Linked DNA regions of Cricetulus griseus. The protein of the gene in region 2 purifies or fractionates together with the protein of the main gene of each other region. This does not show direct contact. Links are inferred from orthologs where the notes say so. Each region holds a gene or a part of one and is shown on either strand. Other genes may lie near its edges. The genes, in order: Col1a1 and P4ha2.

The links.
Region 1: the proteins of P4ha2 (region 2) and Col1a1 purify together in Homo sapiens (co-immunoprecipitation; 3 studies listed by BioGRID and IntAct, counting the BioPlex papers as one, with this or other methods). This does not show direct contact. The link is inferred for Cricetulus griseus from reciprocal best matches to the Homo sapiens genes P4HA2 and COL1A1.

What each region holds. Positions count from the first base shown.
Region 1 is NC_048600.1:108,118,281-108,122,534, reverse strand, and holds the start of Col1a1 (collagen alpha-1(I) chain), read right to left. Parts: upstream 2,859-4,254; 5' UTR 2,736-2,858; coding exon 2,660-2,735; intron 1,234-2,659; coding exon 1,039-1,233; intron 917-1,038; coding exon 885-916; intron 766-884; coding exon 730-765; intron 641-729; coding exon 539-640; intron 1-538. UniProt on the Homo sapiens protein: Type I collagen is a member of group I collagen (fibrillar forming collagen).
Region 2 is NC_048600.1:68,286,614-68,290,421, reverse strand, and holds part of P4ha2 (prolyl 4-hydroxylase subunit alpha-2), read right to left. Parts: coding exon 3,638-3,808; intron 2,122-3,637; coding exon 1,928-2,121; intron 1,184-1,927; coding exon 1,007-1,183; intron 1-1,006. UniProt on the Homo sapiens protein: Catalyzes the post-translational formation of 4-hydroxyproline in -Xaa-Pro-Gly- sequences in collagens and other proteins.

The DNA.
Region 1 (4,254 bases), about 40 Mb from region 2:
CTATAAAATAACTGCCTCTGCCCATCAACCAGACTCTTCAAACCCTTGCTGTGCCAAGGATGACAAAGAGTCTCAGAAACAGTCAACATTTGTGGGGCTCAAAGAGATGAGATAACAAAATGAAAATGGTGGTCTTGGACAAGAAGGAAAAAAAAAGATGCTATAAAGGAAATCTGAAAGTGGGTTGTATATTAGGCAATAGTGCTAGAGGAACTTTAAATTTGGTACTATGGTCCCCTGTTAAGGAAATGCACGTACGTGCTTTGGAGCATAGGGCATGGGCATGTTCTTGGTAATTTCACACACACACACACACACACACACACACACACACACACACACACACAGACAGGAGATAACTGTGTACTCGGTGGTGAAGGAGTTGTGATGAAGGATGAATGGAAGTTCTGGGCACTATTGCAACTTTTCTGTAAGCTTATGATTATTTAAAAATATAAAGTTATATCTGCAGAAATCAAATCAAATCAAAGCAAAAACCGGGAGTCACACAGGGCTGAGGTCTCCAAGCTCTACTTACTCCTCCGAGGCCAGCAGGGCCGGGGAGACCAGGAGGACCAGGAGGACCAGGAAGCCCAGGCTGTCCAGGGATGCCATCTTTTCCAGGGGGGCCAGCGGGTCCCTGCACCAAGAAAGGGCGGGGCTGCTATGAGCACAAACCAGAGCCACGCCCCCTCCAGTTTCCCAGCTCACTTAGAATGCAATGCTTACCCTTGGGCCTTGAGGGCCGCGGTCTCCCTTGGGTCCCTGTGGGTTTGAGGGTGAAGAAACAAGAGGCCGGTTAGAGAAATGAGGAAAATTGGAGTCCATAGGAGGGACAGTAGGAGTCATGGACGGGTGAGTGAAAACAGGGAGTAGAGTATTACCTCGACTCCTATGAGTTCTTGGTCTGGTGATACTGTGGGGGAAAAGATGTGAAGTTAGAAGTAAATTTGCTAAGGTACCTGAGGTGTTAGAGGCTTTCAAGACACAGGCAACGACGGGACTCTGACCTCCCCTAACTGTAGGCCCAGAACGTACCAAACTCTTCTGGGCAGACAGGACAGCACTCCCCTTCACGTTTTTGGGGGTTGACACAATCCATCTTTTCCTGGCACACCACGGCATCGCACACGGCTGTGCCATTGTGGCAGATACAGATCAAGCAGGTATCGGCTTTCCACGTCTCACCATTAGGGATCTTTACGCCATTGTGTATGCAGGTGATTTCAGGGACTGCGCAAATAGGGAAAGAGCGGCTCTAAGTCCCCACTTCGGGGCACCAGGGATCCCAGCCCTATTCGCCCTTTCCTCTGTCTTAGAGGCGCACGTAGGTTTTCCACTTCCCGCCTCCCGCATCCCCCACTCCCCATTTTCTTCCCTAAAACCCTTAAATGCTGGTCTGCTCCAAAGCGGCGTTCAGTGACAGCTCGGGGCGCCTGGCCAGGACAGCTATAACTTCCCAGCTCTCAGGAACTTAAACAAAGCTTTAGACTGGGGTTGCTTCCAAACTCAACTTCAGCCCACGCGCGCGGGAACCAAGTGAAATAAAAAGCCTTCTGCGGGAGAGTAGGAGGGATCCTATACAGTAGAACGGGGCCCGTGGGATGTGGTTTGAGCGCAAATAAGAGGCGGGGGTGGGAGGAGAGAAGGGGAGTTCCAGCCCTGGTCCCACCCCCATTCCCTGGGCAGGTGGGATGGAGTGGGAGGGGCTAAAATGTGGAGTGGCTGATCTCCGTGGAGTCCGGTCCTAAAGTTGGATACATCTTAACCCCCATGCTCCCAGGAATCTTTTCCCTCCCCAGGAATCTTAAAACCTCGCTTTCGAGACGAGCCAGCCAGTGCTTTGGCGTCTCTCCTTAACTAAAAAGAACTCAAGTCTACAAATAGTGATGATTAGTAAACCACGCCCACCGCTCTAGTAACGGTTCAAGGCAACCACTAGGTGGCGGGCAACACTAAGCAACGGACTGAGCGGAACCAATTTTACCCAGCCTGAGCCATTTCTTTTAAAGACTGGGGCTACCCCATGCCTGGTTTTATTTTCCCCGTCTGGAGATGGGGGTCCAAGCCCGGCAATAACCCAGATCTTCCCTCTTTAGCCCGCGCGCTATAAAGTGCAGTACCAGGACGCGTAGTGCTCAAGGCTGACCAGCAGGGGGCGCAGGGACCGCGCCCTGTCAAGTCCGAGCCAAACTTTCTCATCCAGCAACCCTCCCACTCCGTGCGTTCCCTCCCCCTGAGCCCAGCACCCCGGCGGCCCCAGCAACACTGTCTAGCCTGCAGAGAAGGCAAACAATCTTTCCTTATGAATCACCCCGCAGCCTCTTTGATAGCTTTTACATCTTGGGCTCCGAATCTCTATTCCAGCCGCCTTATTCCACCTTCGACGTACTCTGTCCCAACCCGTGCCCAGATTCCCACTTTTCCTGTTGTGCTACTTATGGGTGCTTGGAACTTACTCCTGAGCCACTTCACCCCACGTTCCACTTCTGAGAACCGCTCATCCTCATCTGCACCCCAGGGTGGCCTCTCTCCTCCCAGTTCCTCCCCATCACCTTCCCCACCTCCGACTGAAGCATCCGTTTAAGTCTCAATTGTCAGGACCCAGTGCAGAACGCGATACCAAGAAGCCGTGAACTCCCCAAAGTTTGGAACTTACTGTCTCCTTGGCCGTGCGTCAGGAGGGCAGTGGCCCCTAAGAGGAGCAGGAGCCGGAGGTCCACAAAGCTGAACATGTCTAGACCCTAGACATGTAGACTCTTTGCGGCTGGGGTGGGGGGTTAGCTTCGGCTCATGCGTGGCCTCACTCCGCGTGCCTCCTGCTCCGTCCTGAGGAGAAACTCCGGTCTGCTCCGACGACTGGCCTGGGCCCCTTTTATACCATCCTGAGGAGAGCTGGGAGGAACCCTGCCTCTTGGAGAGGGGGAGCTTGCAGCCCGGCCCCCAGCCAATCAGAACTGCCTGGCCCGGCCCCCAATTTGGAACGAAGAGGTGGGAGGAGGGAAAGAAAGGGAAGGAGTCCACCCAGCCCCCCCCCCCCACTTTGCAACTCTGCTGCCCCTGCCCCCCAGACCTACCCAGGCCAGAGATACTGGAGTATGACTGGGCCCTTGGTACACTGATTTGTGGGTAGGGGATGCCCCTTGCACTTTCTTTCTGGGACCTCAAATCAGAAGGATGTGAAACTGGGGATTTGAGTGGGGCAACATTATAGAAGGGTCAAGGTCAGGCATAACTGGGAAAACTGGCCTTGCTTTTTAATCTTTCTGACATCCTTGGGAAGGAATAAGGAATACACTGGACATGCACCTTTCCAAATCAGAGGAACCAAGTAGCTAAACAGAGGTGCCTGTTTCAGGCAGGGCGGGGGTCATCTCTTGGTGTGGCCCAGGTATGGAGGATAGGAATATTTGTGAACAAGTTAGATATCTCTTCATAGACACCAAGAATCAGATATGTGACTGCTTGAAAAGAGGGAGGGGGGGGAATAGTTGTCTGTTCTGCCATGACTGTGGCTCCAAGACAGACCAACTCCAGGTGTGACTGAGGGAGACAGCTCTGAGGCTGAGGCTTGGGGAGAAGCTTGACACCCTTGTCCTTCCAGAAGGAGGCTTAGGCATTAAGTGATAGGGAGCAGGGTAGGCTGGGGGATCTGTGGGGGCCTTAAAGCTATGGACTGGGGTTTGTTATATCAATTCATTCCCTGAACTCATCTATCCCCGAGTGAACTGAGCGAAGTGGGAAGTGAGTTTGTTAGGGGGAGGCCTGTGACCATGGATATCTTAGAAAAGGGTCTTGTATCAGCAGTGCTATAGCCAGGGATTGGTTAGAGGTCTCCCCGGGCCCATCATGTAGCAGTGTCAATTCAGAGAGAATGCATAGAAGGCTTTTCAGCATGGAGAGCTGTTCTCAAAGCAGCAGAGTTCATTTTTCTTATTGTACCTGTACTTGGTCTGGGGACACCTAGGTGAATTCAGTGTGTGGAGGGAACTTGTGCCTGGTAGCTGAGTGACTTTAAGTTTACTCTCCACAGGTTTCTTTGCTGGAAACCCTGGCCATTACTCTCCACCTCTACATTCAGGAAAGGGTCATTTGTAGCCCCGCTCCCCCAGAACAGCAGGTTATATTTAGAGAAGATGTCTCTAGAAGACAGTGTCCTTTCTTCCCCTATGTCCCATCACCCCTCAAAGTGCTCTGCCTGACCCCCAATCTATTTAGGACCATCATCTTGCCAAAATATGGGTGGTGAGGGAA
Region 2 (3,808 bases):
ATGAGTCTGCAACAGTTCACACACATACAACACGGGAGGCAGGTCCTGCCACAGCAAGCTCAGTAAACACTGGTTACCACTGGGAGATATATTTCAAAAGTCAATAGTTCCGCATACTAGGCTAGAAACATGGTTTAGCTAAAAGAATGCTGGGCTAGCACATACGAGGCCCTGGGTTTGATTGGCTGCACTGCATAAACCAGGAATGATATTTTACAGCTGTAATTCTAGCTCCTGGGAAGTGGAGGCAGAAGGTTATCCTTAGATATATACATATATAAAAAGTTTGAAGACAGCCTGAACTACATAAGACCCAATATAAAAAAGAAATGCTATCCAAAAATTTAGCATATAATAGTGAACTAACATTCACTAATGCAACAAGTTAAAATACTCACAAGAAGAAAATTTACAAAGAAAAAAAATGAGGGATAAGCTTAGTAAGAAATGTATTTGAACTGAAATTTTAAACATGAATAAGTAAAGATTATAAGGAATTGCACAGATGTACACCCTCCTCCAAGTCAAACAGTTCACTGCAGTCTTTATCATCGCACTGCAGCCCTCACCCCTCACTGCAGCCCCCACCCCTCACTGCAGCCCCCACCCCTCACTGCAGCCCCCACCCCTTGCAGCCCCCAGCCCCCACCCTCACTGCAGCCCCCACCCCTCACTGCAGTCCTGATCAGAAGCTCCACGGATTCCACTTTTCCAGGACTATGCATTTCCTAAAAGATCTATGCACAAGCCCTTCAACCTGGTGAAATGGCATTTGCCACTGAGATGCCCTGCTCTCAACATGACCTGCATCATGCCTGTTCCCTACTTTTTCTTCTCTATTAGATCACAAACCAACAATGTCAGCCCAAGTCCACAGCATATGAGCCCAACTCACACTAGCTATTGGTGAGCCTGAATTGGTGCACAGTCAACCTGCCCCACAGAGGCAGCAGGAGGAACTGCACCCCACCCCATTCAGTGCCCCAGCAAAACCAGAGACACCTACTTTGGGCTTCGCGATTTCCTTGATCCTCTCAATTTCTTCATCCGACATCACATCATAGTATCTGACAATGTGCGGGCTGTCCCACTCATCTTCCTCTTTGAAGGGGGCGATGAGGAGCTGTGGCACCCTGTTACCATGATGGTACCTACAGAAAAGCTTCTTCTGCCTCTGGGGGGTCTAGGGAGCACAGAGCAGAGTGAGTTCTTACCCTCAGCTCCAGCCCAGCTGTCTGCACACACTGGTTTCACCCTCCACGGCCAAGGCTGTCCTCAGCTTCACCACAGAAGAAAACCAGAGTAGGAATTGACCTCACACAAACCATGCAGCTCCCCTTCTCTCCACAATTTCTGTGACAGAGGCACTTCCTGACCCTGCTCATAGAGATCTGAATCGGCCTGAAGCCGATGGGGAGAAGCCTTTCTAGACGGAGAGCAATCAGAAGCCAATCGGGAGCACAGGAAAGGTGAGCGCCTCCCTCATACTGAGCTGTGAGGATCAGTGGAACCAGGGCTCTCAAAAGCCAGGGACACAGACACCAAACCCCTGCAAGTGTTGCCTTTTTTTACCACTGGGTCTTTTTTGTCATTTACACCATGACTTCCCAGGGACCTAATGCATATCTATTCCCATCATTTCCCTCAAACTAATGAGTCAAATGATAGGTAGGCACACTGGGGTGAATGGGGAGTACAGCAATGCCCTAGGGGACAGCAATTCTCCCTGGAGCATCCATGGAGACAATCTCCTGTCCTATGCATCAGAGAACAGCCCCCCTCTCCCCCACACACATACACACCAGCCTCAGCAGACGCTGAGAAAAAAAAAAAAAAAGAAGAATAGACAGCAGAACTTCCCATGCTGCCCACCCAGAGCCAGCACTCAGATCCCCAGCCTGGCCACCTGCCCCTCCCCAGCTCTCACCAGTTTGACGCCCTCCCCACGGCACAGGCTCTCATACACATCCCTCTCAGGGAGGTAGTCCACGGGCCTCTCATACACGTTTTCCTGGGTCGCTAGTCCAGCTTCTGTCTGATTGAACAAGGATTTTTCTCTTTCTTCCTCTAACAGTCGCTCAAAGTACCGCAGATTCCCGCCAGCTCGTTCATGGCTTGGGTCTAGAAAAAGCGAAAAGTGAGGGCAAGGAAACCACAAACATCTGTTAGGTCATTTACAGAAACTGTTCTGTGAGCCGTTCCTCTCCCAGCAGCCTATTGGTATGCTATGCTCTGCTGGCTGCAGCACCTAACCAGGGTGCATCCGCCAGAGCTGAAAAGCCAACAGAGGATCTTTCATCTTGTCAAGTGATGAGGAGATGTGTCATTAAAGCGGAGCACATTCAGCTAGTGACTAGGGGTTAGATAGAACACAGAGCTTGTAGGAACTCCAGGAGGTCTCCCAGAGTTCTGCCTCTTCCTTGTGAATGGCTGTAGCTGTTTAAAGCCATTCCCCAGAGTGCAGCCAGGTCTGGTGACCATATCACACACTGGCTACAGATGGAAGACAAGCTGAGATACTGGTAATAAATAAATAAATAAATAAATATAAATAAATAAATAAATAAGAGGTACAAAGCAGGCCAGATGGCTCAGCAGGCAAAGATGTTTACTGCCCAAGCCTGACAACCTGAGTTCAATACCCAGGATCCACATGGTGTAAAAGGAGAGAATTGACTCCCTAGAGTTGGCCCCTGACCATATGTACATTGTGGCAGTTGCACATTCATACACACAACAAATAAATAAATAAATGTAATAAACTTTTATTTAAAAATAGAAGAGTCACGGCTCTGGTGGACAACACAGTACCTGAAGCAACAGCCACGGCAGGATTTCTATGTCATTCCCCAGATAACAGAACTGAAGCTCAAAGATGCCCAGTGACTTAAGATGAAACAACACACAAGAGTTGGAGTATCCTGACTCCCTGTCCAAGGCTCTTACTAACTCACATGACAGATCCTACAAAACCCTCTACCCACATTGGTCTTGTGCAATGTTCAAATGCTAGCTGGCCTTCCATTCAGGGCCCCTGGATAGCAGTGGCAAAGTCAAGTCTTCGCTGCTCTGTGATGTTCCAGACAATGTGCCCATGTATTAGTAAAAGGTATAATGAACAGGCTTTAAAGATACAATACTTCGGGCCTTGTTCTGTCCCACATCACAGGACATGCAGGGGACAAATGGCATGCTAAGTCCTACTTTAGACCTCAGGCCACTAATTGCTAGAATTACTGTCACTGCAGCAATCCAGAAGGACAGCTTGCTTCTCAATCTATATTTTACACAGTGAAGGGTCTACCCTGCATAATGGTACAAACACCACAACATTAGGTCCTTATTTTTAAAAGTGACAGAGTGTGCTCACATGTGCACAGGCACTTGCACACACAAGCCTATGCACATGCATGAGCAACACACACACACACACACACACACACACACACACACACACACACACAAGATGTCACAGGCCTTTGAATACCCATCAGCACCTGGCATATGGTCTAACCTCAAGACTGCAGGTAAGGAACTAGTCAGTGACAATCAAACTGATTTAGTTCCAAGAGATGACCAAGCAGTGTGGCTAGAAGGGTCAAGTTCCCTTACTAGCTCCAGCCCCTAACCTTCTTACCAAGAGAGAGCAGGCGGCGGGTGAGCTCCACAGCACGGTGCAGGTCTCCCAGTTGGAAGACAGCATAGCTCAGGTAGTCCAGCACCAGGGATTTTGTTATGGTGGCCTCTTCCCCAGCATCGAGCTGTTTCAGCACCTGCTCCATCCACAGCACAGTATGATAATAATCTC